7 linked regions of the Macaca fascicularis genome follow. The protein of the gene in region 1 purifies or fractionates together with the protein of each later gene. This does not show direct contact. Links are inferred from orthologs where the notes say so. Each region holds a gene or a part of one and is shown in the gene's direction. Other genes may lie near its edges.

Evidence for each region.
Region 2: the proteins of LATS2 (region 1) and MOB1A purify together in Homo sapiens (affinity purification with western blotting; 9 studies listed by BioGRID and IntAct, with this or other methods). This does not show direct contact. The link is inferred for Macaca fascicularis from reciprocal best matches to the Homo sapiens genes LATS2 and MOB1A.
Region 3: the proteins of LATS2 (region 1) and USP9X purify together in Homo sapiens (affinity purification with mass spectrometry; 4 studies listed by BioGRID and IntAct, with this or other methods). This does not show direct contact. The link is inferred for Macaca fascicularis from reciprocal best matches to the Homo sapiens genes LATS2 and USP9X.
Region 4: the proteins of LATS2 (region 1) and SAV1 purify together in Homo sapiens (affinity purification with western blotting; 4 studies listed by BioGRID, with this or other methods). This does not show direct contact. The link is inferred for Macaca fascicularis from reciprocal best matches to the Homo sapiens genes LATS2 and SAV1.
Region 5: the proteins of LATS2 (region 1) and AMOTL2 purify together in Homo sapiens (affinity purification with western blotting; 3 studies listed by BioGRID). This does not show direct contact. The link is inferred for Macaca fascicularis from reciprocal best matches to the Homo sapiens genes LATS2 and AMOTL2.
Region 6: the proteins of LATS2 (region 1) and LIMD1 purify together in Homo sapiens (affinity purification with mass spectrometry; 3 studies listed by BioGRID and IntAct, with this or other methods). This does not show direct contact. The link is inferred for Macaca fascicularis from reciprocal best matches to the Homo sapiens genes LATS2 and LIMD1.
Region 7: the proteins of LATS2 (region 1) and AJUBA purify together in Homo sapiens (affinity purification with western blotting; 3 studies listed by BioGRID and IntAct, with this or other methods). This does not show direct contact. The link is inferred for Macaca fascicularis from reciprocal best matches to the Homo sapiens genes LATS2 and AJUBA.

What each region holds. Positions count from the first base shown.
Region 1 is NC_088391.1:852,284-856,749, forward strand, and holds the start of LATS2 (serine/threonine-protein kinase LATS2), read left to right. Parts: upstream 1-1,588; 5' UTR 1,589-1,829; intron 1,830-4,466. UniProt on the Homo sapiens protein: Negative regulator of YAP1 in the Hippo signaling pathway that plays a pivotal role in organ size control and tumor suppression by restricting proliferation and promoting apoptosis.
Region 2 is NC_088387.1:47,773,526-47,777,802, forward strand, and holds the start of MOB1A (MOB kinase activator 1A), read left to right. Parts: upstream 1-1,323; 5' UTR 1,324-1,536; coding exon 1,537-1,550; intron 1,551-4,277. UniProt on the Homo sapiens protein: Activator of LATS1/2 in the Hippo signaling pathway which plays a pivotal role in organ size control and tumor suppression by restricting proliferation and promoting apoptosis.
Region 3 is NC_088395.1:41,218,208-41,221,453, forward strand, and holds part of USP9X (ubiquitin carboxyl-terminal hydrolase 9X), read left to right. Parts: intron 1-1,443; coding exon 1,444-1,581; 3' UTR 1,582-3,246.
Region 4 is NC_088381.1:118,599,935-118,604,241, reverse strand, and holds the start of SAV1 (protein salvador homolog 1), read left to right. Parts: upstream 1-1,467; 5' UTR 1,468-1,800; coding exon 1,801-1,894; intron 1,895-4,136; coding exon 4,137-4,307. UniProt on the Homo sapiens protein: Regulator of STK3/MST2 and STK4/MST1 in the Hippo signaling pathway which plays a pivotal role in organ size control and tumor suppression by restricting proliferation and promoting apoptosis.
Region 5 is NC_088376.1:37,277,413-37,281,227, reverse strand, and holds part of AMOTL2 (angiomotin-like protein 2), read left to right. Parts: intron 1-36; 5' UTR 37-97; coding exon 98-831; intron 832-3,728; coding exon 3,729-3,815. UniProt on the Homo sapiens protein: Regulates the translocation of phosphorylated SRC to peripheral cell-matrix adhesion sites. Required for proper architecture of actin filaments.
Region 6 is NC_088376.1:108,570,785-108,574,599, forward strand, and holds part of LIMD1 (LIM domain-containing protein 1), read left to right. Parts: intron 1-562; coding exon 563-630; intron 631-3,217; coding exon 3,218-3,280; intron 3,281-3,815. UniProt on the Homo sapiens protein: Adapter or scaffold protein which participates in the assembly of numerous protein complexes and is involved in several cellular processes such as cell fate determination, cytoskeletal organization, repression of gene transcription, cell-cell adhesion, cell differentiation, proliferation and migration.
Region 7 is NC_088381.1:90,726,020-90,729,834, reverse strand, and holds part of AJUBA (LIM domain-containing protein ajuba), read left to right. Parts: intron 1-1,210; coding exon 1,211-1,312; intron 1,313-2,941; coding exon 2,942-3,009; intron 3,010-3,135; coding exon 3,136-3,198; intron 3,199-3,815.

The sequences.
Region 1 (4,466 bases):
GTTATGATTGTGCCACTGCACTCCAGCCTGGGCAACGTCTGTAAGAAAAAAAGGAAAAAATGTGGAAAGGTACATAGGTAATGCCAGTAGAGCTCAATTGCAGAATATTGGCTGGAGACTTATTTTGCTCCTAGTACTGTGCAAGATATCTGGGTAGCATACAAGATACTATCGGGAAAAAAAAAAAAAAAGATACTATCAAAAAATGAAATTGAATTCTAAGCTGCACAATGGTTTCTTTTTTTCTTTTTCTTTTTTTTTGCACAATTCTGCTGGCAGGAAGGGATTACAGTTTGATTATCAGAGCCCAAAGAAGAGAGAAAACAGAGATCTGAGAAGATTCCCTGGAAGAGCAGAGGCCTTAAGAGACTGAAAGAGAGGAAGGAGGGGAGGAGGATGGACCAGGGACTGAAGGCTGGGTGAGACTGTCAAAATAGTGCACAGATAATGACCTTTATTACTGTTTCCCATGAGAGTAAAATTTAAAAATTTCACAAGAGTTTGTCAATTAAAGAGGAAATTGAGTTGACTTTAAAAACTATATTGACCCTCAGCATCACTTGCCACAGATGTAGGTGGTAAGAAGTACGATGTTAGGAGAGCCAGAAGTAGATTGAGTATTTGGCTTCCAGTCTATTATTTCTACTCTGAATCTTTGCACAATCCCTGCTTCTGTCCCTGTACCAGATCCAAAGTCCTCAAATGGATACTGGAGCTGTTCAAAACTCACGACCTCACTTGCTAGTATATATAGTACTACACTATTTCCTACACCAGAAAACACTTATCAGAAACAAAATATACACGGGGAGGGGAGGTTGATTACATTAAATCAGATTAAATTTGGGTGTGCATCAGACGTTCTTTTTTGTTTTTTGAGACGGAGTTTCGCTCGTTGCCCAGGCTGGAGTGCAGTGATGCGATCTCAGCTCACTGCAACCTCTGCCTCCTGGGTTCCAGCGACTCTCCTGCCTCAGTCTCCCGAAGAGCTGGGATTATAGGCATGCGCCACCACGCCTGGCTAATTTTGTATTTTTAGTAGAGACGGGGTTTCTCCATGTTGGTCAGGCTGGTCTCGAACTCCCGACCTCAGGTGATCCGCCCGCCTAAACCTCTCCAAGTGCTGGGATTACAGGCGCGAGCCACCGCTCCTGGCAGACGTTCTTAATTGTTTGATTCCACTGTCCCAATAGCCGTCTGTCCTTTCCTGCCCCTATTTTTACTGTCCCGCCCCTAGTTGGTAACTTGGTGGATCCTTCAGGCCTGCTTTTTTTTCCCCCCACCAAGACTGGTATGAGATACTTAAGAATAGTGACTTTAACAACAGTTACCAACTTTTAATACAAGTGCAGTCGAGAGGGCAAATACTCAAGTTTGGGGGCGGCTAGCAGAGAGTCAAATAGGTCCGAGAGGCCCCGGCGAGCTACCGCAGGCCAGCAGGGAGGCCGCGGGCAGGTGGCGGTCGAGGCCGGAGGCAGGAAGCGCGGCCGGGCGGGGCTGGGCGGAGCGGCCGCGGAGGAGCAGGGGCCGCAGGCGCCCCGCCCGGGCTGGTATGCGGCCGAGAGTGACGCGGGAGGCGGGGTCACGTGACGCCCGTGGAATGCCAACAATGTAGCGAATGTCCCACTTGGGTCTGCGCTTTGGAACCGCGGCGTGAGCGCCCCGGGAAGATGGAGCAGTCGCCGTCCACGCCACCGCCGCCGCCCGGGGCTCCCCCGTCCCTGCGGGGCCAGCAGCAGCTCCAGCCACCAGTGCCCGGTCTCCCGGCGCGCGAGGCCCGGGAGCCGCGGGCCAGGACGCCCCCGAGGGTGTAGACCGCGCCCCTGGAGGTGAGGGGGCTGGGGGCTGGGGTCGGGGCGGCCGCCGGGAGGGTGGCGAGAGTTTCCGCGAGGCGGTCGAGCCCTGCGGCTCCGCGCACCCACCACGGGGCCGAGGCTCCGGGAAGGGCGCCCGGCGGGGCGGCCGAGGAAGTTTGTCCGGACGGAGCCCTGCGCCCTGCCCCCACGGTCCGCGCCCGCCCGGAGCCGCCCCCGCCCGGCGGCGCGTCGTCCAGGCCGTGCGGAGCCCGCGGAGCCGGTTCCGGAGGAGCCGGGGAAGTTGGAGGCCGGCGTCGGGCGGGGGCAGCGGGGCTGCGCCGCTTTGTTGTGCGGCGGCGGGGGCGGCCGGGATCACGGCGGGGCAGGGGCGGTGCGGGCCGGGGGCGGTGTCCCAGATCCGAAAGGCCGTAGCGCCGGGCGCGCCTCTGCTTCCGCTGTCCCCGGGGGCTCGGCTTTCCACTAGACGCCGGGCCGGGCGCCCTTGACAGCCTCGGGACCCCCGCGTCCGGCCGCGCAGCGGTCCCACGGAGCCGGGGCCGTCCTCTCGGCCGCGCCATCGTCCCACGGGCCAATCAGTCGTTCGGAGCCCGCCCCGTTCGCCCCCGCCGGCCGCCCCGTCGTCCCGCGAGCCGACAGACCCACGGCCGTGCGGCAGCCGAGGCCGCGCCGCCCCTCAGCCCCCGTGGCTGCGCCGCCTCAGCCCCGGCCACACGTTCCCAACCCCGTTCCTCGCGGCCGCGCCGCCAGCCCGCGGGCCAGTCAGCCCCTCGGAGACCTCCGGACCTTGGGGGCGCCGTTCGTCCCGGCCGCGGGCGGCCAGGCCCTGCTCGGCGTCTCCCGGCCGGCTGCCGCGCCGACTCTGCGAGTTTGCTCACGGTCTTGGCGGGACGCGGCCCGAGCCGCGGGAGCGCTTTCGTGGCCACGCGAGCGGCGGCCGTTGCATAACACGCCATTCCCGTGCCCTAGTTTAGCGACGTGTCGGGGGCTTGGCTTTCTCCTCTGATGCAAGCTCACCTGCGCTTAGCTCGCAGCCGGACTCCGGAGATGGGGATTCTGACATCGTTCACATCTTGCCATCGCTGCCCAACTCCAGAAGTTCTGGGGAGCTTTCCCTCGGGCATGGAGTGCGGCCTGGAGCAAACCCGTTTGTAAAGTCCGAGTTTCCAGTGTCCCCAGGGGTGGGAGCGGGGGGCGAGGCGAGGAATGGACCCTGAAGAAGGTAAAACCCACCCGACCGGGGCGCCAAGCAGCCGGTAGCAGGGTCCCCAGTGAGCTCGGCGGCTGGCGGCTGTTCTGAGGCCTTTGGATGAGAAATGCTATTTTGCGAGGATAACTATGAAAGAACTTAACTTTCAGATTTTGTTGACAAAAATTTTGTTGTTGTTGTTTTGAGACAGGATCTCGCTCTGCCTCCCAGGCTGGAGGGCAGTGGCGCGATCTCAGCTCACTGCAACCTTCGTCTCCCAGGTTCAAGCGATTCTCCTGCCTCAGCCTCCCAAGTAGCTGGGACTACAGGCGCCGCCGCCAGCCCAGATAATTTTGTACTTTTAGTAGAGACGTGTTTCGCCGTGTTGGCCAGGCTGGCCCTCGAACTCCTGACCTCAGGTGATCCACCTGCCTCGTTCTCCCAGAGTGTTGGGATTACAGGCGTGAGCCACCCGCGCCCCACCTGACAAGAATTTTGAACAAGAACTTTCACATTTTCACGCTTCTCTAGGATGGATATGAGTGTTTTGTTGTTGTTGTTTTTTGTTTTTGTTTTTGAGACGGAGTCTCGCTCTGTCGCCCAGGCTGGAGTATAGTGGTGCGATCTCAGCTCACTGCAAGCTCCGCCTCCCGGGTTCCCGCCATTCTCCTGCCTCAGCCTCCCGAGGAGCTGGGACCACAGGCGCCGCCACCTCGCCCGGCTAGTTTTTTGTATTTTTAGTAGAGTCGGGGTTTCACCGTGTGAGCCAGGATGGTCTCGATCTCCTGACCTCGTGATCCGCCGACCTCTCAAAATGCTGGGATTATAGGCGAGAGCCACCGCGCCCGGCCAAGAGTGTTTTTAATGTAATAGCATTAAAAAAATTATTTCACCTTAACTACTAAGCCATAAGAGTATACGTTTGGCCGGTAAATAATTCAGATTAATAGCTGAACAGCTCTTTTCACAAAGTATTCCACAAATATGTACACTTTTAGAGGAAAGTTTGCCCATATTTTAATAACAAATATACTGAAATTTGAATGCGAAATCACAAAATGTGTGTGATCTTACACAACTGTTCTGCTTAAAATTTTAACTTAGAAGATGAGGGGCCTTCCCTTAATCATGGAAAAAGTAACTCATGGCTGATTATTGGGAAATTTGTACTAAATCTTGTATATTTTTGGTAAGCTGCTTTGTATGTTTTAAGTTTTTTTTTTCTGAAATAACCGTTGTAATAAGGTAGTAACAGAAAAAAAATTCCAAAATGAGAATGTATAAACTGTTTATGACGTCTATTTAATTGTAATTAGCAAGATGTGTTATTCAGTGTCTTACAAAATTTTGTCTCATGCAGGTATAGAAGGCACTGAATGTAATAATAATAATAGAATAATGAATATACCGGCATTCCTTTGAAAATAAGTTGGTGAGCATTTAATAACTTTCCAAATCCCAGG
Region 2 (4,277 bases), on another chromosome or scaffold:
TGAGCTCAAGTGATCCACCAGCCTCAGACTCCCAAAGTGCTGGGATTACAGGCGTAAGGCACAACTGTGCCTGGCCAGGAATGAAGTTTTGATACATGCTACAATATGGGTGAGTTTTAAAACATGCTAAGTGAGAGAAGTCAGTCACAAAAGACCACATAATGTATACTTCCGTTCACAGTGTATATGAAATGTCCAGATTAGGTAAATCCATGGAAATAGAAAGTAGAGTAGTGGTTGCCAGGGGTTGGGAGGAGGGAGGTGGGTGATAAAGAGTGACTGCTAATAGGTATGGGGTTTCTTTTCCAGGTGGTGAAAATGACCTAGAATTATGGTTAGGCTGGGCGCCGTGGCTCACGTTTGTAATCCCAGCACTTTAAGAGGCCAAGGTGAGTGGATCACTTGAGGTCAGGAGTTCAAGATCGAGACCAGCCTGGTCAACATGGTGAAATCCCGTCCTTACTGGAAAAAAAAAAAAAAAAATAGCCGGGTGTGGTGGCGCACGACTGTGATCCCAGGTACTCGGGAGGCTGAGGCATGAGAATCACTTGAATCTGGAAGGCAGAGGTTGCAACGAGCCTAGATTGCACCACTGCACTTCAGCCTGGGTTACAAAGTGAGACTCTGTCTGAAAAACAAACAAAAAAAATTAGTGGTGATGGTTGGCACACTTTGAAAACATAAACAAAGCCGGAGGCAGTGGCTCACACCTGTGATCCCAGCATTTTGGGAGGCCAAACCAGGAGGATCCCTTGAGCCCAGGAGTCCAAGACCAGCTTGGGCAACACAGTGAGACCCCCGTCTCTGCAAAAACTTTGAGAAAATTAGCCGGGCGTGGTGGCACGCACCTGTGGTCTCAGCTACTCGGGAGGCTGAGGCGAGAGGATCACTTAAGCCCAGGAAGTCCAGGCTGCAGTGAACTGTGAACTCCAGTCTGGGCGATAGAGTGAGACACTTCAAAAAAGAAAAAACATAAACGAAAAGGACCACTAGAGGGTACATGTTTAAAGGATAGATTTTATGCTATGTGAATATATCTCAAGTAAAAATTAAAAATTTTAAAATTTGCAGGGGTAGGTAGCGCTTATAGAGGACCCTGCGCAACCTAGGGAGCTGGGTCGAAACTCAGCAGCACCAAGATAGACTAAGAGCAGGACTAGCCACTGCCCTTTCCGCAGGACCGCCGTCCTCGCCACGCCTCCCGGGGAGGGAGGGCCTGGCTTGGAGAGCAATGATTGGCCAAGTTCTAGGACGAGGCGGAGCGAAAGGGGGTGCGTCTAGTCCCTCCCGGCGCCGCGAAACCTTAGCTCGCGAGATTTTGTTGGTTCCGCATTTCGGGTCTGCGAGGTGGGGTAGGCGGGCAAGGCGGGCGCCGAGGTTTGCAAGGGCTCGCAGCGGCCAGAAATCCGGCTCCGAGCGGCGGCGGCCCGGCTTCCGCTGCCCGTGACCAAAGGACGGTCCTCTCCCTCTCGCCGGCTCCGAATCCTGATCCGGGCGGGGGCCAGAGGCCCCTCGCCTCCCATCTGAGGACCGAAGATGAGCTTCCTCTTGTGAGTGGGGCCGGGCCGCGGGCACTGGGGCTGCGGGCCGAGATCGTGGGGGAGGCCTCCCCGGACCTGAGGCGAGGGCTGGGCTTGGGGGCCGGGGCGGGGGCGGGGTAGCTGGCGTTTGTTTTGCCTCTGTTTGGGTCAGCGGGGGAGGCCGAGATGTTGGGAGAGGCCGACAGAGGTGAAGGTGAGGTAAAGGAAACGGAGCGTGAAGGTTGGGGAGTAGAAAGGCCCCGGGGCCGTAGCGCCTGCAAACTTTTCCGCCCGAGCGCCCCCGAGGGCGAGGAGACGATCTGGGGGCGGAGCCGCGAGCCCCCAGTTTCCCTCGTCTCGAGCTTCTAGAAACCGTCCATGCCGACTTAACTCGCCGCTCGGTTATAGGTCCAGTTTCAGTATTGTCGGTGTTGAATGCCGCTCCGGGAGAATGTGCGTTGCCGCAGTTTGAGAAGCCTGAAGTTAAGATGCGGGCCTTGGAGTCGGATCGTTCTGTCCAATTCTGATTCTGCCCACTTACTGGTTTTGATTTTAACCAACTTCTCTTGTCCTCGGTAGAATCGTGTGTTTTTAATCATTATGTAATATACCATACAACATTATTACATAGTACATTGCAGTATTATTATAAATAATTTGGAAAGTTAAAATTAAAACAAATTCATAGTCCCATTACAGAAACAGTATTGCTATTTCAGTGCACTACAGCAATTAACTTGATACACATACCTTAGAATCTCATTTTAGAGATAATGCCTGAGCCCAAACAAGGCTACAATGAAAAAGCTTGTAAATTCCCTCATGATTCTTATGCACATTAAGGTTTGAGAAGCATTGCTCTGGCAAAGTATTTTTTATTCTCGGGTGGCGCTCTCTACCTTGTATATTGCTTAAATGTGTGTTTCCTGATTGAGTAGTTATCCATTTTTAGTTATGGATGCAATCCACATGCTTGACATTTTTATTAAATACAATATAAAAACACTACATAGGTTTTTTTTTTATTTTATTTTATTTTTGAGACGGAGTCTCGCTCTGTCGCCCAGGCTGGAGTGCAGTGGCCGGATCTCAGCTCACTGCAAGCTCCGCCTCCTGGGTTCACGCCATTCTCCCGCCTCAGCCTCCCGAGTAGCTGGGACCACAGGCGCCCGCCACCTCGCCCGGCTAATTTTTTGTATTTTTTAGTAGAGACGGGGTTTCACCGCGTTAGCCAGCATGGTCTCGATCTCCTGACCTCGTGATCCGCCCATCTCGGCCTCCCAAAGTGCTGGGATTACAGGCTTGAGCCACCGCGCCCGGGCGGTTTTTTTTTTTTTTTTTAATAACCAGAGTTCACCCACTTTATTGTGAGAGACTGGGATTCCTTCCAGTATTTGCTTTTATAAAATAGGACTACTAAGAATATGTTTATCTGCGTCTCATTTTCCCTCCTTTGGGTTATTCTCGTAAAGGAATGGTCTCTAAAATACGATTACCTTGTCAAAAAGCCTGTATGATTTAGATTTAATTTCCATATTAATAGAAGTATTCCTCCCTCCACTTTTTTCTTACGAGTTGATATTTAGTTAGTGAATGCACAGTTGCTTTGTGGACCTTAATGTGAGACTTTTTTTTTTTGAGACCGAGTTTCGCTCTGTCACCCAGGCTGGAGTGCAATGGCACGGTCTCGGCTCACTGCAACTTCTGCCTCCCGGGTTCAAGCGACTCTCCTGCCTCAGCCTCCCTAGTAGCTGGGATTACAGGCGCCAGCCACCACACCCGGCTCATTTTTGTATTTTTAGTGGCGACTGGGTTTCATCATGTTGGCCAGGCTGATCTTGAACTCCTGACCTCAGATGATCCACTCCCGCACCCGGCCGAGACTTTCTTTTTTTAAAACTTGACCTTCTTGATGGGCGCTTGAGTTGTTGCCGCTTTTTGGCCATTATGAATAATGCTGCTGTGAACATATGTGACAGGTTTTTGCGTGGATGTATGTGTTCATATCTCTTGGGTATATACTTAGGAGTGGAATTACTGGCTTACATGGTAACTGTGTTTAACCTTTTGAGGAACTGCCAAACTTTCAAAGTGCTGCACCATTTTACATTCCCATAAGCACTCTATGAGGGGTCCAATTTCCCCACACCTCTCATAGCACTTGTTAATTTTCCTTTTTTAATAGTCATCCTAAGTGGATGTGGAGTGGTATCTCCTGATTTTGATTTGCATTTCCCTAATGACTAATAATGTTGAGCATTTTTTCGTGTACTTATTGGTCATTTGTATATATTCCTTGGAGTAAAGTCTATTTAGATCTTTTGCCTGTTTTTAAATTGGGTTGTCTTTTTGTTTTTGAGTTGTAAGAGTTCTTTATACATTCTAGATACAAGTCCTTATCACATCTGTGATTTGCAAATATTTTCTTCCCTGTTCAATATAATTTTTTATCACGTTAAAAACGTTTCAGATTTGATTTTCAGTGTTTTCATAATTCTTTTTTACTTCTTTTTTTAAATTTAAAATTTTTTTTTATTTGAGACAGGGTCTCACCTGTTGCCCAGGCTGGAGTGCAGTGGCACCATCTCAGCTCACTGCAACCTCCACCTCCCGGGTTCAAGCAATTCTCCTGCCTCAGCCTCCCAAGTAGCTGGGATTACAGGCACTTGCCACCACGCCCAGCTAATTTTTTTTCTTTTTCCTATTTTTAGTAGAGACGGGGTTTCACGGTGTTGGTCAGGGTGGTCTAGAGCTCCT
Region 3 (3,246 bases), on another chromosome or scaffold:
CTGTGAGGCAAAATCTTCACCTGGATTCCAAAAACATTAAGATATGCAATGAAGTAAGAAGTCCTTGGTTTCCAATGATGGTAAAAATCACTGGAAAAAAAAAAGGATTTGGGTAGATTTCCATAGGTGATTAGCTATAAAGTAAATAAACTAGTAAATAAATAGCAAAAGAAATGAGATGAAGAAACATTCTAAATGAAAACTTTTTCTTTCTGAAACCGAAATGTGACTAAATCAGCTCTTGTGAGGCAATGGTACTCAAACTTGAACAGGCATGAGTCTGCCTGGAGGGCTTGCTCCAGCAGAGGGCTAGACGCTATCCCAAAGTGTCTGATTTCATAGGTCTTCAAGGGGCTGGAAAATGAACATTTCTAACAAGTTCCCAAGTGATGCTGCTGGTGGTCCAGGAACTATACTTGGAGAAACATTTCAGGCATTCTTTCTTACGTTTCACTGTGTACACAGAAGCAAACTGAATAGTTAGGAAGTACACATTCAGCATACGTATTTTCATCTGTAGAAATGGGCGCAGTAGCTCATGCCTGTAATCCCAGCACTTTGGGAGGCTGAGGCAGGCGGATCACCTGAGGTCAGGAGTTTGAGACTAGCCTGACCAACATGGAGAAACCCTGTCTCTACTAAAAATACAAAATTAACTGGGTGTGGTGGCGCATGCCTGTAATCCCAGCTACTCGGGAGGGTGAGGCAAGAGAATCTCTTGAAGCCAGGAGGTGGAGGTTGTGGTGAGTCGAGATAGCACCATTGCACTCCAGCCTGGGCAACAAGAGTGAACTCCATCTCAAAAAAAAAGTCTAGAATCTTGGCGTGGCTGATGGAGCATATACAGAAAAATGAGAGCACTGTAGGGTTCAGACATTTTAAAAGGTTAAGGAACCAAATCCACAAGGGAGGTTAACTTCCTTTGACCCTGAGAAAGCTCTTATGTTAATCATGCCTGGTTACTTTATCATCTTGAACATTGTTCTGTTTTTAATCAGCATTATTGTGAGTTCAGGGTTACTACTCCTGTATATCTTGTATCATGGTTAGTCAATTGGATTTAGCATGTGGAAGAGTCAATAGATGCTCATAGATTGTTTTCTGAACATTTTTTTACCAAGAGCAACAGTGGGTTAATCCTTTATTTGCCAGACTTGAGTCTAAATCATTTTGGCACTAAAAATCACTTTGGCCAAAGATGTATGTGGACCTACACAATCACTGCTCTTATTCAGGGTTTGGGGGTTTGCATTTACATTATGTTTTTCTCTTTCAAGCCTTTTTTTGTTTTTGTTTTTGTTCTTGCACAATAGTAGTCCAACGGTATTTACAGAGTAAGTCCCAAGAATAAAAGTTCACATTTCCAGAGACTTCAGACCATGATTTTGAAGTTGTTTTACTATGTGAAAAGTTTTAACATGCAGATCTCTTCTCCTTTCCCAGAATAACCATGTGCATGGACAGCCATATACAGGCCCAGCAGCACATCACATGAACAACCCTCAGAGAACTGGCCAACGAGCACAAGAAAATTATGAAGGCAGTGAAGAAGTATCCCCACCTCAAGCCAAGGATCAATGAAATGCACATAATTAACTGGTTCCATCAAGACTGTGCACCCAGGCCTTACAGTCCAACCTTTTTCTGTGTCTGGCTAATATTTAAAACTAGAAAAACTATTCCTAATCAACATGGAGTGGAGAGTTTATTCACTGTCTTATCTGCAGAAATTTGCTGTCAATATATAACCCGCCTGCAGTGGAAAGTGTATAGTGTTTTGTAATAAATGGCCTGATGCTAATGTGTAAATGGCAAAGGTGTATATAGTATATTAATGTTGACTGTTAATTCTTAAGCAAGAAACTTTTTTCTTGATGAGACTCACAGATCTACACAAACTACAAAAGTTAATTTTCTTGTTATACCCACTGCACTCTGCAACCAGTGTTGCCTGCCTCATGGCAGTTGGTTCAGCTCCTTTACAAAAAAACCCAACAGCAACAAAACAGAGCCCATTCATGTCAGCCACACCAATAGTTTCATGTTAATTCTTTGCCACTGGAGTCAATTTTGCTATGAGCAATGTGTAAGGCTGGTAACCTTTAAATTATTTGGTTGATGTGGAAAATTGGTGATGTAACACTGTTTCTAGATTTTTTTCATTGCCTTTTTATTCTGATATTAGGTTAATCACTTTGAAGCTATAGTTATGCTGTAACATTTAGCATGGCTTCACACCAAGTTAGTGTAGCCAGTGAGGAAAAAGTTACCATAATGACAGCAGTTGTCCGAGAAGTGACAGCTGTATTACTCAGAGCTTTTACTTCTTACACCTAGAATATTAAAATATAAAACAAGGCGAGAAATGTGACAAACAGGCTGTTTTCAGTTGCACATATGTTCCTTATGTATAATGTTTGACAGTTCAATCTCTGGGTGGGATAAAGAACACTTACGTATCAGTAATGGGAATTTTAAAAAATATAAAACAAATATGCAAAAATTTGCTATGCCAAGATGCTGGAGCATAATAGAAGACTGTATTTGGTGTGCTTGTTTTGTTTCTTTGGTAGAGTTTATTAGGTGAATCTTCTCAAACTTTCCTTCTGCTGGATCCCAGTGACGTGGAAGTCATCAGAACCCCACGATACTTGGAGTACCTCTCTGCACCAAGATAGCTGGCTGATTTTCTGCTCAGTCACAATTTTACTTGAAAGCAAGAATTGTCCTAGCTCCTCTTCCCTTATTCCAAAAAGTTTAACGTTCAAAGCAGGGTCTCATTAAAAAAGAAACTACTGGTTAGTTAATATAATTGAGATATCACAATTTCAGAATAAACATTTGATTACAAATAAGGAACTCCTCAGTTCATACTGTATTTAAAAGAGAATTGGTAACTTGAATGTGTGTAATTTTTTGGAACCTGTCTAAAAACCAAATACCCTGCAAACAGATACAGCCCACCCTATTCTATTTAAATATTTTGCTGTTTTATTTTATAGAAATTATTTTGCTGAATTCACAAATAGAATTTGATTTAAGAAGAACTTTTTGTCCTGTGGTGTTTTTTTTTTTTTTTTTTTTTTTTTTTTTGGTTACTTTTTTTGTCCTTTTTTTTTCACAGAGGACTGCATATTAAAATTCATTCTGTGCATAGCATGCCTAGGCATGACACTGATTCAGGATTTCAGTCACACTGAGTTTTTGTGCACAGAAAGATTTGACCTTTGGCCCTTTACTGAAGAT
Region 4 (4,307 bases), on another chromosome or scaffold:
TCTCCCCCTCTTTTCCAGTAGTAAACCCTCTTACTGTTCCTCCAATCTGCCAGGAACATGGCCACTTGCAGTGACTTTGCACTTGCTGTTCTTTCTGCCTGGAATACTGTTCCTCCAGATAGCTGCATGGCCAGTTTCCTCATTCTGTCACTTAACTCCAATGTCACCTTCTCCTGAGCCTTCTCTGGTCCCTCTATCACCCTCTCTAAAATTGCGAGTACTCTCTTATTTTCACTTCATCACTTACCACTATCTAACATAGTATGTTTTGCTTATTTTTCGTCATTTTTTTCTTTCCCATGACATAGGAATTTTTGTCTGTTTTGCTTATGGCTATATCACAAACACCTAGCACAGTGCCTAGCACAGTGGGTGATGAGTATTTATTGCTAAATGAATGAATTGGGGGAGATCTGCATCAAGGGAACATATGGAGACAGACCCTAGATTAAATGTCTCATTTGTTTGCTCATGGTAAAACAAAATTTGACCATCTTTTTAATGTTATGTGGTAAAAAAAATTCCATGTCTTTTGTTGTGACATGTCTTAGATCTCTTGTGAGATGTTTTAGATCTCAGGGAAAGCATTCTTCATTATTAAAGCCTGAATTTGGTCACTAGGGGATGAATCCAATCTTATTTTCCAAATGTTATCCTGTACATATGGCAGTTTTGCTAAGTTATATAGAAGGAAGTAGAGTCTATTATTTTAGATAGAAAATTCCCGGTCCCGACTTGCAGTGGTCAAAGTCCTCAAAATTCTAAGATCGTAACACATAACGTCAGGAGGAAATACGTGGCTATTAATCATACTAATGATAATGATGCAATAAAATAATTGCAATATGCTAACACCAAATGTATCTCAAAAAGAGGTACTGGAAATTCCATCTTGCATTCTTCCGTTTTTTCCTGTTATTAGAAAAACGCACTCCCTGATACTCAGTAGAGGATCAACTTATTTCTAGTTAACCAGCATGAACGCTTCCAGCAGAATAGATGGTATGATATAGCACTACCCTGGGGGTCATGGTTAGCATTCCACATTTTTTACGGAACTGAATTCACCAGCCTTGGAAACACTAAGAAGAACACCCGTCTTGGGAGAAGGGAGTCACTGCCTCCATTAGAAATCTTGGGAGGACACAAAAACAACAACAAAAAAAAACTGTCGTGGAGAGTGGCTTCACGACTTGCGCATGCGACGAGCTCCCGGTCTCAGCGAGGCAGGGTTCGTCCTTCATCTTCTCAGTCGGCAGGACCTGCTTCTCGCTGAGGATGAGTGAGGACAGCCGCGGCTCGGTGGGACCCGCCCGTTAGCCGAGAGCCCCCGCACCCGAGTCCCGCCCCGGAGCCGCGCCGGGACTGTGGTGGGGGAGGGGCGGCGGTGGCCCGCGCTGCGTCGAGCTTCCCAGAATTCCCAGCGGCCGCGGGGAAAGTTTACGGGATGTAGGCGGCGGCGGCGGTAGTGGTAGCGGTTGCCCGGCGGCCCGCGGCGAACCATGGCCCTGGCCTGGCGTCGCTGGGCTTTTCTCACGGCGTCCCCGAACAGCGTCGCAGAGCGGGCCGACTTCCGGGAAGGAACTGACCAGCGACTGAGCGGCGGCCGGCGCGCTTAGCGCCCTGAACATGCGGCAGTCCCTGCAGGCAACCCCGGGCTCCGGACAGGCGGCGGCGGAGGCGGCGGCTCAGGAGGGAAGGAGGCGCCGGCGCCGGCGGAGGTGGCGGCGGAGACGGCCGGCGCCCGGCGCGGAGCCCTAGGGAGGCAGCTCAGCGCGGCCTCGGGCCTCGTCGAGAAGGATGCTGTCCCGAAAGAAAACCAAAAACGAAGTGTCCAAGCCGGCCGAGGTGCAGGGGAAGTACGTGAAGAAGGAGACGTCGCCTCTGCTTCGGAGTGAGTGTCAGGCGGGGCGCGCCCACACCTGGCCCAGGCGGCCGGGGGCTGCGGGGACCTGGGCGGGGGCGCCGGCGGGTCCCCAGGGCTTCTCCTTCGTCGCTGGTCGCTGTGAAATACTGGTTTTGAGATTTTCTTGTGCCTGAAGTGGTATTCGTTGATTGAAAGCCCGTAAGACTAAGAAACTTGGGTTAGTCCCCCCGCGCCTAACCGCGCCAAGAGCACCCCCCTAAAAATAACAGACTTCCTCACCCCGCCTGGCAGAGAGTTGTTGGTTTTGAGTACTGGAAGAGAGACTAGAAAACACTTAAATTGTTTATAACCTAATGAGTAATTAGACAGGGACACTTTTTATTCTTCTGGGTGCGTCGAGATGTGCCTCATGTTTGCAAACATTGTTGGTGTCTCTCGACCGTGCTGCAAGTTGTGCAAACTCTGGGGCAGAATTCCTTAGTCCTGCTGCCGGATGCAGACTTGAGAAGGTGAAAAGCACACCATAGTTCTTGTGGCTGCCACCCAAAGCACATCCCAGAGCAGAGAGCCAAAAGCCTTTGTATTTGGCTATATTCGTGAGATTCCAAAAAGGCAACTCAAAATTATTTCTATCGTGTTAGAGAAATTCCACCGTCCCCCGCCCCACCCCCGGAAAAGTGTTTTTTTTTTGATAGGGTATATCCCACCCTCAACCCCCACCTCCGATCCCCCGCTACTTTTCTTCTTAATTTAAGTATTTGATTTTTGAGTTGAATCTCTTGGATTTTTAATTATTGTGTGTTCAGGACATTTGTGAGGCATGGAGCTGGTATTTTGGTGCTTATACTGCGCCCCGGGCCCTTTGCGTAAGTTTCCTTCTTGGAAGCTGGTAGTAACCTTGTGACTTAAGTATTACCTCATACTGTAATTGGGAATGCTAGGTTTCTAGTATTTGCCCAAGATCACACAGATGGGAGAGCATGTTCTCCATTATAACCACATTGTCAGCCTTCCAGATTTATAGTAGTACTTGCAATACTTTCAACAAAATATATGTCAGTTGAGCATGTCAGTAACTGGAAACTTGATTTTTAAGTTTTTTTTTTAAACTTGATTTTCAGTTACACATGCTGTTAGGTTTTTGGCTGTTTTTAAGTGATAGCTTGCTGTTTGCTACAAATAAAGTTTATCAAACATTACTTGAAATCGTGAATCATGTTTGTCACACTTTTTTTATTATTATACTTTAAGTTCTGGGGTACATATGCAGAACATGCAGTTTTATTCATGTTTGTCACAATTAAGCAAATAACTTTTGATATACTTTGTGTTGTTGTCGTTACATCAAGTGTTGAGCCTTATTTATTCGGATATTTGTTTCTGTCCAGTGTTAGTTTCTGAAGCTTATTAATATGAGTGTCTCCAATATTGTTTACTTAATGAATAATAAGAGGGTCTCCATATTCAGGTTTTTTCTTGTTTTAAAGGTATTTGCTTTCTAACTAGAAATGTCTTAAGCTGTTTTCAAGTTTCGTGTTTAAAAGTACAGTATCCTAAAAGCCATTGTTCTATTGTCTACTATTTTGAATTATAATTACATAGTTTCAGGCTTGGTTTTTTTGAGCCAATTCAACATTTGTGTGCCTCTTTGAAATGAGAGCTTTTTTCAATTTTCATACGTAAATTTTTGGCTTTCTAGCTTTTGATTACTGTGCTAGTGCTAGGTAATTCCAAGAGAAGAAAGAGCTACTAATTTTTTAATCTTTAAAGGAATCCACTTTTACATACTTGGGAGTAGCATTAAGTTCTATTTTATTTTTGAAATTGTGTTTGCTTCAAGAAGGATTTTTGGCAGTTTCTAAAATGAAGTGAGAACAACAAAATAAACTACTAGCTTAATTAACTAGAAACTATCAGTTTGTTAGATTGTTTCCTATTATTCATTAATTCATGACCATGTCATTAATGTGTAGTTCACAGATAAGATTATTGGCATTTTATCATATTATGTATGGTAGTATGCAGAATACATTTCATTCTAGCTGAGCTTTTACACATAGCATATTAATGCAAGTTATATAAATTCATTTGATTGGGAAAATATTAACCTTCTTCAGTTTAAAATGCCCAAGTACCATCCTAAACCAAAATTTAAAATTGTGTTTTAAGTTGACATTTGATTTTGGGGTGGTAGATGTAAATGAACAACTTTCGAAAACTTTTGTTACTTACTGATGAAAGGGTAATTTTATTCTTTGTTTTATTATAGATCTTATGCCTTCTTTCATCCGGCATGGTCCAACAATTCCAAGACGAACTGATATCTGTCTTCCAGATTCAAGCCCTAATGCCTTTTCAACTTCTGGAGATGGAGTAGTTTCAAGAAACCAGAGTTTCCTTAGAACTCCAATTCAGAGAACACCTCATGAAATAATGAGAA
Region 5 (3,815 bases), on another chromosome or scaffold:
CTCTCTCTGTCTCTCTCTCTCCCCACCCTCCTCTAGGTGCTCTGGGGCCAGGTGCCACCGGCCATTGTCCAGGCAGCTGTGTGCAAGCCAGAGAAGCATGAGGACACTGGAAGACTCCTCGGGGACAGTCCTGCACCGCCTCATCCAGGAGCAGCTGCGCTATGGCAACCTGACTGAGACACGCACGCTGCTAGCCATCCAGCAGCAGGCCCTGAGGGGTGGGGCAGGAACTGGGGGCACAGGGAGCCCCCAGGCCTCCCTGGAGATCCTGGCACCAGAGGACAGTCAGGTGCTGCAGCAAGCCACCAGGCAGGAGCCCCAGGGCCAGGAGCACCAGGGCGGTGAGAACCACCTGGCAGAGAACACCCTCTACCGGCTGTGCCCACAGCCCAGCAAGGGAGAGGAGCTGCCCACCTATGAGGAGGCCAAAGCCCACTCGCAGTACTATGCGGCCCAGCAGGTGGGGCCCCGGCCACATGCAGGGGACCGAGATCCCCGTGGGGCCCCCGGAGGCAGTCGGAGGCAGGATGAGGCCCTGCGGGAGCTGAGGCACGGGCACGTGCGCTCCCTGAGTGAACGGCTCCTGCAGTTGTCCCTGGAGAGGAACGGCGCCCGGGCCCCCAGCCACATGAGCTCCTCCCACAGCTTCCCACAGCTGGCCCGCAGCCAGCAGGGCCCCCCACTGAGGGGCCCCCCTGCTGAGGGCCCAGAGTCCCGAGGACCCCCACCTCAGTACCCTCACGTTGTACTAGCTCATGAGACCACCACTGCTGTCACTGACCCTCGGTACCGTGCCCGCGGCAGCCCGCACTTCCAGCACGCTGAAGTCAGGTAACTCTCCCCACCTTGGGCTTTCCAGTTCCTGGCTTATCCTCCAGCACAGGCTGTCAGGGAGGAGAGCCTCAAGATCACAGCTTGTGTCAGAGCTGGCCAGATCCCCACCCCACCTCCAGGCTTCCTGAGAAGGGAGAGCTATTGCCTGGCAGAGAAGAGAGATGTAACTGAGGTCCCCTAAGAAGTTAGTGGCGTCCCTTGCCTTAGTTCAGAGATAGGCACCATTGTCTGCTGAGCTTGAGCATTCTAGTAACTACCGTCCCCAGAGGACACAAATCGCAACAGGCGGTTAAAGGTTAGATTTCAGAAATAACTTCCTAAAGGCAAGGTTGGGAATCATTGCCAAACTGTTTCCAAGTTAAGTAGGAAGAAGGTGGGACCTCCTTCTCTGGAGGCTTTTTAAGAAAATGTGAGCAACTTGCCTTCTATGATTATTGGGAGGCATTCCTAACTAGAAGCTGGAAAGGCCCGGTGGCCTCATTACAGACGTCTCTGCATCTTACACCAGCGCAGGAGCTTCCCTGTCTCTCCTCCCCATTTCCTGCCGTACGCTTCCTGCATCTGCAGCCTGCAGTGGGACAGGATTCTGGGTCCGGGTGGGCCTCTTTCTGGGGAGGCTCAGGAGAGGCTGCTGGGTCAGGGCAGGGACTTAGAGTTTGATTCTGAGTATGCTGGGAGGCCCTCGGGGGATGTGATTTGGTTTTCCTTTTCTAAGTGCTCTTTCTGGCTACCATGCAGAGCATGGTTTGTGAGGGGCCAAAATGGAAGCAGGAAGACTTGGGGGAGGCAAGAAGTCTAGAGAGTTTGGAGAAATGAGTGTTCCTAGAAACAAGGCCCCACCTCAGGCTTCTCATCTGGCCCGCATCTTTTCAGAGAAGCAGACACAGCCATCACTGCTGCATCTCCCCCTGTGGGAGTCCAAGAAACCCCACCAAGGGACCCCAAGGATTTCAGACTCTTCCTCTGGTGGCCCAAGGTCAAAGTCTGGTTCTCTTCATGCCTGCTGAGTTTTCCTTTAGTCACCCACTTTCCCACCGTCCGGCCTTTCCTTGCTCTCGAGAAATGTGTGACATGATGGGGTTGGTATGGCGGAACAGAGGATGGAGCCTCTTGGTTTTTCTCCAGCCTCCACCCCCTCCAGACTCGCACCTTATCGCCCTTCTCAGGGCTCGGTCAGGAAGAGTTTCGGAAGCTGAGTGGTGGTTTCTTCTTTTGGACCAGCCTTATTGAACTCTGTCAGGAAAAGATAGTAATCGTGGCAAGGAAGTAGACTGTTTGCAGGAGAACAAAAAGCGGGGGAGGGAGAGGACGGGGAGAAAGGAAAGCAAGTGTGAAGGGAAAGGAGTTGCTATTCTTTCTCAGAGCCAAGTCATCCCGAAAGAATGCCAGTTGTGTCTGCCTGGCCCAGTGCAGGGGGGAGCAAGTTCTTGAAGCAACCTTGAGAATGGCCATTTTAGCAGTGGAATGGAGAGTTTGAGTACTCCAGTGGGGACCCTCTTCCCAGCTCTTACTGGAAGCCCCATCTTAGATAGTAGGAGAAATACATCTGCCCAATATCCCCTTTCGGATGATCTGATGAAGATTATTTGTTAGGAACTTGGGGCTAGACTCCTAGCCTAGGGTCCTGAGAAGAGCAGGGGGGCCATAGGCTGTATGGGGGCAGGAGGCAGGGGCAGGCTGGGTGTGCATGAGTGCTGACATGATGCACCTAGAAGGAGAATTTGGGTTTTGTGGGGCTTCTGGGACTTGGAAGAATCTTTGTGAAACTGCGGCAGTTGTGACACTGGGAATCACAAGGTCCCAGAAAGGCTCTTGAACTCCCCGTGCCTCTCGCCCTTTGCTCCTTCCCTCAATACGGAGCCCTATGGGTGATGTTACACCAGTGCCAGAGGCCAATAGAACATTGTCCCCTGAACTCAGCAACTACAGTAGTCCAGAGGCAGCCCTTACTCCCAAGGAAACCCAGAGTTTGGGCCACATTTATTCTCTAAACTGAGGGTAAACCGAGGTTCCTACTAGAAGAGATGGAGGATGGGCCACCACTACAGGAGCACCTGCCACCCACCCAGCACCGGCCCCGCACTCTGCCAGGCCTTACATAGCATCATCCTCACAAACCCTGGCGAGGCTGGAGACCCTCATGATGCAACAGAGCAATGCCCTGTCTGTGGGGCTGAGGCACTTGCCCAAGGTTAAACAACTGGAGCAGGGATTTAAACCCCTATTTGTCAGACTCTAGAGCTCAGACTCTTACCCTGACATCTGTCTCACTGTTCTAACCTTAACTGGAGTCTTCTAAAAATGATTCTGGGTGGGTGGGGGCTGGGGGTAGCAGGACTTGAAATAGAAAGGAGAAAATGAGTGCTGCTTTGGCAGTCTTGAAACTGGCCACTCATGTAATAGACATAAGGTTGCTGCTGGGGCCCAGCCACCAAGTTGTCCTGGGCCCTGGAAGGTTATATGCTCAGTCATGATTGACATGGCCTCCAGCCCCAAAAAGAACCTTCCATTGACTAGAAGTGTCAAGGTGCATTTTTCAAGATGACATATTTAAGCATTAGTTGCTTAGGAGGCCCAGGATTGCTCAGGCTGATCTCCAAGGCCCCAGCCACTGTGAGGCGGGTATGAAACAAGCATCCTGACATTAATCCCCTCCAGCTCTGCTGTCTGACTCTTGAGAGCCTTAGGCAGAAACATTTGGAAAAGGCCTTCCCCACTGGTCCCTGCCTACCACTTGAGGGTTGAATAATTATCTGCAGCAATTTTAATAAATATTAGTTATGAATAATAACCATCTTCCCAATATGCCTAGGAATGGGGCGACTCTGGGCTGCTCCGGGTGGGAACCATAAGGGTCTGTGCTGTCTCTGAGCACCGTCTCTTCTGTTTCCCAGGATCCTGCAGGCCCAGGTGCCGCCTGTGTTCCTCCAACAGCAGCAACAGTACCAGTACCTGCAGCAACCCCAGGAGCACCCCCCTCC
Region 6 (3,815 bases), on another chromosome or scaffold:
CTCCCACTCCTGCTTACTCGTTTTAGGTCAAGAGAAAACAAAAATATCCTTCCAACAATGTGTGTTTTCTACAGTTTAGGCGAGAAAAAGGTAGGAAAATAATAGTTAACCAATGTATAGGACTCTCCTGATAGGCGGTCACAGTGGTCCTGGAGCATACGTCCAAGGTGACTATCCTAAATGCCTGTGGGAAACTGCATCTTCATGAGAGACTTGCCCAGACGCCCTCTTGTGTTGCCTCTGCTGTCCCGCCACCAAATGCTTTGCTGGTGTCTTTCCAAGCAGAGAGGAGGTGCTGGAAGGTGAGCGTAGGATGACTTCCAGGTCAGCCCTTGAGTCTTTTTGCCAAATAGCACCTGCCAGGGCACCCTTCCTCCCGGCCTCAGCCTGCCTGCCTCTCACCAAGGGCCACGGCATCTTTTAGGAACTGGAAAGTGTCATTGACAGTTGGCGGTTTTTATGTGTGTATTTCTGCCTAAAGATTTTGCTTTTCACTTTTCGCTTTTTCCACTGCATATTAAAATTTTTCTTTTTTGCCCTGTCTTTGTGTGTTTTTCCTTAGGCCGGAAGCTGAGAGGAAAAGCCTTTTATTTTGTCAACGGCAAAGTGTTTTGTGAAGAAGACTTCCTGGTGAGTGTGTCACCGCAGCCTCTCCTTGCATGTCCTGGCCAGAGTCAGAGGGCAGGGGCGTGGTGGGACCTGGGCCAGCGCACAGGGAAGCTGCACTGCTGGAGAGAGGGGCCCTGCCTTTCCTTCTGTAGATGCATGGGGGTGGCCGTGTTCCCGAGGCCAATGGCAAACCACACAGCCTTGTACTTTGAAGAAACTGTGGGGTCACTTGACCTATCCTCTTGCTGCTTTCTGTAGTTCTGCCTCTTCTACCATCCTGGACTCCTCCTCTTAGACCTCTGGACTGGGACCTGGGCTCTCTTCTTCTCATCCCACTCTCTCTGGGAATCTAGCTTCTCCCATGGACTGAAAGTTCATCCATGTGCCAGTGACTCCCAGACCTGAGCTCTAGCCCTGCTGCACCTCTGAGGCCAGCGGCTGGCATCCCACTGGCCCCTGGACATGTCCCCTGGGCTGTGTCCCAGCCTCTCACATACCAGCCGCTCACCATACTTGTGTGAACCAAGACCCTTGCCTTGGGTCCTGATCTGTGAGAATTGCCTCCTAGGTTTGTCCTCAACCCCACCTCCTTGAATGCAGCCAGGCGTTGAACTCTATGCTGCCATGTCTTCCACAGTTCTGCCTCCGTTCACACCTCCGGCATGGCTCAGCCAGCCTAGCTTAACGGCCTCCACACCCCCGCATCAAGAGGCCTTATAGGGCATAAACCTGGCCTGCTTGGTCCCAGCATGTGTAGGGTACAAAGCACGCTCAGAAGCTCTCCGAGGTCTGGACTCCCCAGCTTCCCACACCTGTGCAACCTCATGCCTTCATGCCTTTGCTTGGGCCATTTCCCCTGCTTGCAATGTCTTGCCCCTTTATTTTCCCAGAGCCCCCCAACAGCCTTCCTGTCCCTCCTGCTCCCACAATGGAGGAGCTCCTCTGTGCTGCCACCACGCCCGGGACCTGCCCTGGCAGGGCTGTGGGGTGTTAGCCCTGAGCATTATGTCTGTTTACGAGTCTCTCCTCCATTGACTGAAAGCTCCCAGGGCGAAAAGAACATGTGTCTTCACCTTCACACCTGCAGATTCTAACACGATGCCATGCAGAGTGGGTGCTTGATAGATAGTGGTTGAAATGACCCTGTCATCTCAGGGATGAGGAATGTGAGATGCAGAGATGGGCTCAGGGCCAGCTTCTCCCTGCCTTCCCTTGGGGAAAAGCTCTATTTGGTTTTCACTGAAAAGTTGATTCATTATGACTCCTGTTGGCCAGAAACAGACAAGCAAACCCAAACGGGCTTAAGTAAAAAGGAAATTATTCCAGCAGTGCCTCAGGAGTCATTTTCTCCACAGTTTTTGGTCCTGTGTCTCAGTGGTAGCTTCAGTCTCAGGTCCTGTGTGATGGCCAGATGTTGGCAGGACCCCAGAGTTTACGTTCTCTCAGTTTCACATCCGATGGGCAAGAGTGCCAGTCCTTCCTTTGGAATCCTCAACAGACATCTCCTGGAGTCTCATTGGCTCTTACTGGGCCACATGCCCACCTCTGGAAAAACTATCAGTACTGGAGGAATGCAAGGCTCTGATGGACCAGGTCTGTCAATGCCCTGCCTGGGCCCTGGCATGGAGCCAGCCCACATGGTGATGGGAGCCACGTGGTGTGGGGCCGGGGGCTGGATCCCAAATGAAAATAAAGAACTATTACCCCCAGAATGGGGCGTAGGTGCCAGACGACAGAAACCTCCACCACATGGTGTAGAGTTGCAGAAAGTTTCCCTTTTTCGTTTTTCCCACCTTCCTTTCATTAGGTTTCCCCCAGTTAAGTTGTGTTTGTTATACCCAAACTTCTAGTCTAGTGTGTAGCATCTAGTATGTTTTTTGAAGAGAGTACCTCATGTCTTTCAGGACTCTGTGTGTGTATGTGTTTAGGTAAGATAAGGTAAGGTAAAGTAGGTAATTATCAAGTTTCTTTGAAGCTAACTATAAAAGGTATTAACCAGAACCGGAGTTGAATTTGATTCCTGTCCTTACCGTTTGTTGGCTGTGTGACCTTGAAAAGGTCACTTAACCTCTCTGAGCTGCCCTCTGCTTCTATTTGAGGATTCTGGGTAATAATGTAGACCTTGCAGAATTGTCGTAAGCATTAGAGTGGTGGTTTGAGAATGCATCAGAATCCCCTGAAAGTCTTGTGAAAACACAGATTGCCAGAACCCACCCCCCGAGTTTCCAAATCAATAGGTCTGGAGTGGAGCCCAAGGATTTGCATTTTTTACAAGCTTTCAAGTGATGCCAGGGAACTGCTCTTTGAGAACTACTGAGATGGGATTAAAGCATCTCTATATACAGTCCCTTACATAGAGCCTGGCATGCTGTGGGTGCCCAGACACAGTCATTGTTAGAGTGAGTGGTACTAGTATTTGTGATGGCTTTTGTGGCAGAGAATATTCTGTGACTCAGCCCACAGCTGTGTTGTACTTGGGGAATGACAGAATTCTGCACAGAGTGACACATCTTTCTGAGAAATTCCTTATAATCCTCTTGGCTGGTAGGGAGGTGGCTGATTCGTCTTCCCAGTCTGGGTTTAACTTTCTTTTCTTTTTCTTCTGCAGTACTCTGGTTTCCAGCAGTCGGCTGACAGGTGTTTTCTTTGTGGACATCTGATCATGGACATGGTGAGTAGGTCAGCCAAAGAAGAGAACAGCATCTCAGGTGGAGGAGGAGGCGTTTAGAGAAAAAAGATATTAATAATTGAGGACAGTGTTTCTTATCTCGATTTGTGGTTACGGCTGGACGCAGTGGCTCACGCCTTAATCCCAGCACTTTGGGAGACTGAGGCGGGCGGATCACGAGGTCAGGAGTTTGAGACCAGCCTGGCCAATATGGTGAAACCTCGTCTCTACTAAAAATACAAAAATTATCCGGGAGTGGTGGTGTGTGCCTGTAGTCCCAGCTACTTGAGAGGCCGAGGCAGAAGAATTGCTTGAACCCGGGAGGCGGAGGTTGCAGTGAGCCGAGATCGCGCCACTGCATTCCAGCCCGGACAACAGAGTGAGAATCCACCTCAAAAAAAAAAAAAAAAGACGTCCCTATAAAGTGCAGCTTGCTTGATCTAATAGAACCCGCATTGCTGGCTTTAATTGGAATTAACGTCTTCAACCATCTAGAGCATATGATGTCATGTTTCCGGTAATGCTTTCTCCTCCCCTG
Region 7 (3,815 bases), on another chromosome or scaffold:
ATATTGGGGCAGATCTTCACTTCCATGAGGAAGCCACATTTTGAATTCAGAGATGGGGGCCCCGTCTCCCTGGGAGTGAGATTGCCTCCTTTGACAACCCCTACATACCCCTTGTGCCTCCAGCCCCAGCTTGACTGTACCCTCCTCCTGCCCCTAGTAGGGGCCCTCTTCCTTGGCTTCAGCTTTGCCCAGCTGCCAGAGGGTGGGAGCAGGACAGGTCTGGGCCCATCAGTTGCTGCAGCTGCTGCACAGGCTCCCAAGCCCCTGGGCAAAGACTGGGATGGGCCCCAACAGGCAGGGAGTGTGGCAGCCTGCCGAGGGGGAGAGGTGGGGCGGGCCCGTTGGGATCTGCTCCCCAAAGACAGGCCCTAGCCCTCACTCATGGGCCTGGAATTGGGGAGTGGAGGGAGGGAAGAACACACCCAGGAAAGGCGAGTCCCAGAGCCAGGTGTATGTATCTTAGCGGGGGACTTTGGAGAATAGCAAGCAGTTCAGTTCTGTGTTCTTCCCAAGATAGAAGGTGACTAGGAGGCATCAGGGGCTCTGCTACTCTCCCTGCTTTCCTGTTCAACCCTGGTTCCTGGAACACACCCTACATTCTCAGCAGTCACCTCCCCACAGGAGTCATGCTCACATGGTCCCCTCTGCACAGAGCCCTCTGCTGAGCCAGATCCTTTTCTCCATCCTTGGAAGTCTGCAGCAGAGAGAAATCATTCTATAACTGAACAGCTCGTTTGACTGATGGGAAACTGAAGTCCCAGAGAGGCTTTCTGGGCCTAGCCTGCTTTCTCTAGAAAGTTTTTTCAAGTCTGCTGCTGAGCACCTGTGGACCGGCATCTTTGGCCATTCATCCTACACACTGCAACAGAGATCATACCTTGCCTGTATAATCTTTTCTCCCCAACAGAAACTAAGCATCTGAATGCCAGGGACCATATCTCTGACCTTCTCCAGGTTTCCTCAGGTAGTGGTGCTGTGTTAAGCACAAAATAGATGCTCAGAAAATATCTGTTGAGTAATTAAACAAGAATGGATCTGCTCAACCAAGATCTTGCTACATGTCATTACTTCTTATCTTCTCTTCTCAGAAGGGAGCCCATCAAAGGGAGACTGTGACCCCTGGCACATCAGGAAAGGGCAGTCAGGAAAGCTTGGGAATCCCTGGTTTTGACCTGGGGGAGTAGAGTGTGACACTCTTTTCTCTTCTCAGGCACCTGTATCAAGTGCAACAAAGGCATCTATGGGCAGAGCAATGCTTGCCAGGCCCTGGACAGCCTCTACCACACCCAGTGCTTTGTCTGCTGCTCTTGTGGTGAGTGTAGCCCCAACACTCAAGCACTCCCCTCCCCTGCCCACATACACACAAGTGCTATAGGGAACAGGAGGAGAGCTTTTGCCTCTTCATTTGCTCACAGAGCAGCTGTTGGATCCCCACCAAGTGTCTGGAGGTCCGCAGCTGCTCCGCCTCTCTTGCTTCCTTGTCTGCCCTCTACTTAGCTCTCCCTTCCCCTGGTGGGTCTCCTTTCTGGAGTCCCTCCTTCCTTCCTTACCTCTGTTTCTCCTTCTCATGCCTCCTTGCTTGCCCATCCTGGACTCGCCTGGCCCTCCAGCTTCTCGGTGGGGCTTGGTCTTGGGCAGCCAAGTTGCCTGGGGCGACAGTGAAAGATTGGAATGTGGGGAGGGTGGGGGCAGGCTGGGGGAGTGGGGAGCTGCTGGGGGCGGAGAGGGGGGTTTTCTCTTGGCTGGTCAGAGTTCAGCCACCTCACTAGAGTGCAGGCCACCGGGCCATGCCAAGCTGATGACATCACGCTCCAGGAATGCCTGCCACTGTTAGCTCAGGAGGCCCACTTGGAAAGGGGGGATGCTCCCAGCGGCCTTAACTGCCCCCCTCCCCTCCCTCATTACCCCCTCCTCCCTGCTAACCCATTCTGATTCCTTTGCTAAACCTTTAATCTCCTATCTCTGCCTGTCTGACTTCAGCACTCAGCTTTTCTCACTCCCCCAGTTTCTGCCTGGTTCTCTTTAGGCTCATCTGTCTGTCTATCCTTCTGTTTACAGGGCCTCTTCTGGCTATATCTCTTTCCCTCTCTTTCCTCCCCTGTGTCTCATGAGCTTCTAAGTCAGCTTTCCTAACCCACTGGACAGAATTGGAAGTGGGGATTTTGAGGGGAAGAAGGCAAAGGTGGGAAAATTGCTCATGCTCCACCTGTTCTCACTCCTCCCCTATCCCTGATAATGTAGACACCTGGGAGCAGTTCCTGGGGGTTGGTCACATGGGGAATGGTCCTGCCTTGTCTGCTAGAAGAAGATCCTGGGTTGTCTCTTACCCTAGAGACTCTGGGTCCCTCTAAGCTTAGGGAAGCAGCCTTAAACAAACAGGAAAGGGGACCTGCTTTGCTTCCAAACAAAGCACTTTGTCCTGCAGTAACTCCAGTCCTGACCTCCATAGAGTCTGTCCCTGGAAGGAGACAGATAGGCCTTTGAGAGCAGGATAGACATGCTCAGGTGAAGAGGCTTCTAGGTTGAAGGGTCCCAGAGGGCAAGGCCTGTAACAATGTGATTCTCTCTATGCAAATCATATAGTACCTTATTAAGAGCTCATGTATTCCAGCATGTAGTTGGCTTTACTCTCCCAGGTGGCTTCCTATGCACTGGAGAGGAAGGCAGTTTGTTTAGGGGAGGGCCCTAGAAAACTGTTAAGGAGGCAGGAGCTGGAGGAGCAGCAAGCAGAAGAGAGGGGAAGTTGGCTGGAATGAAGCCAAAGCAAATTGGAATTGCATCAGATGGAATTTTTGTGTGGGGAAGAAGGACAGACAGCAGTTAGGAGGAAAAGTACAAAGTCCAGGTTTAAATATATTATGCAGCACTGGGGAGCAGTGACCCCAGAAGTCTTGCACCTGGGCTGTGGGATAGGTTCCAGCCCCTTTTCTGCTGTTTCTAGGGCGAACTTTGCGTTGCAAGGCTTTCTACAGTGTCAACGGCTCTGTGTACTGTGAGGAAGATTATCTGGTGAGTAAGGGTCACCTGGACCTGGAATTGGTTTCCATACTGACCCCCTTCTTGGTGGCCCATTGGAGTACCACCCATCATTCTCAGTTTGATAACAGCCTCCCTTTGTCTTGTCTTTTACTTTAGTTTTCAGGGTTTCAGGAGGCAGCTGAGAAATGCTGTGTCTGTGGTCACTTGATTTTGGAGAAGGTAAGTAAAGTGCCTTCAGCTGAGAACTCTCACTGTGAGGCTGAGGAGTGGAATCAGGGACTAAATGGATACTGAGAGAAGGTTGGGGGAAGAAGCCTGTCACCAGATGAATCACTTTCATCCCATTCCTCCCCAGAGCAGCTGTTTACAGTGGCTTCTCTCTGCCTATGGAATCAAGTCTGGGCTCAAAAGCCTGTCAACCCAGGCTTCTGTAACCTGGCCCCTTCCTAATTCTGCAGGCACAGCCAGGCCTTCCAGCCTGAGCTAGGAGTGTGGGGTCCTGAGTCTTTTTATTTATTTATTTATTTATTTATTTGAGACCGAGTCTCGCTCTGACATAGTGGCATGATCTTGGCTCACTGCAACCTCTGCCTCCCAGGTTCAAGTGATTCTAGTGCCTCAGCCTCCCAAGCTAGGACTACAGGCGTGCGCCACCATGCGTGGCTGATTTTTGTATGTTTAGTAGAGACGAGTTTTGCCATGTTGGCCAGGCTGGTCTCGAATTCCTGGCCTCAAGTGATCCTCCTGCCTCAGCCTCCCAAAGTGCTAGATTACACGCATGAGCCACCGTGCCCAGCCTGGGGTCCTGAGTCTTAATCCCCTTTCTGCTACTGGTT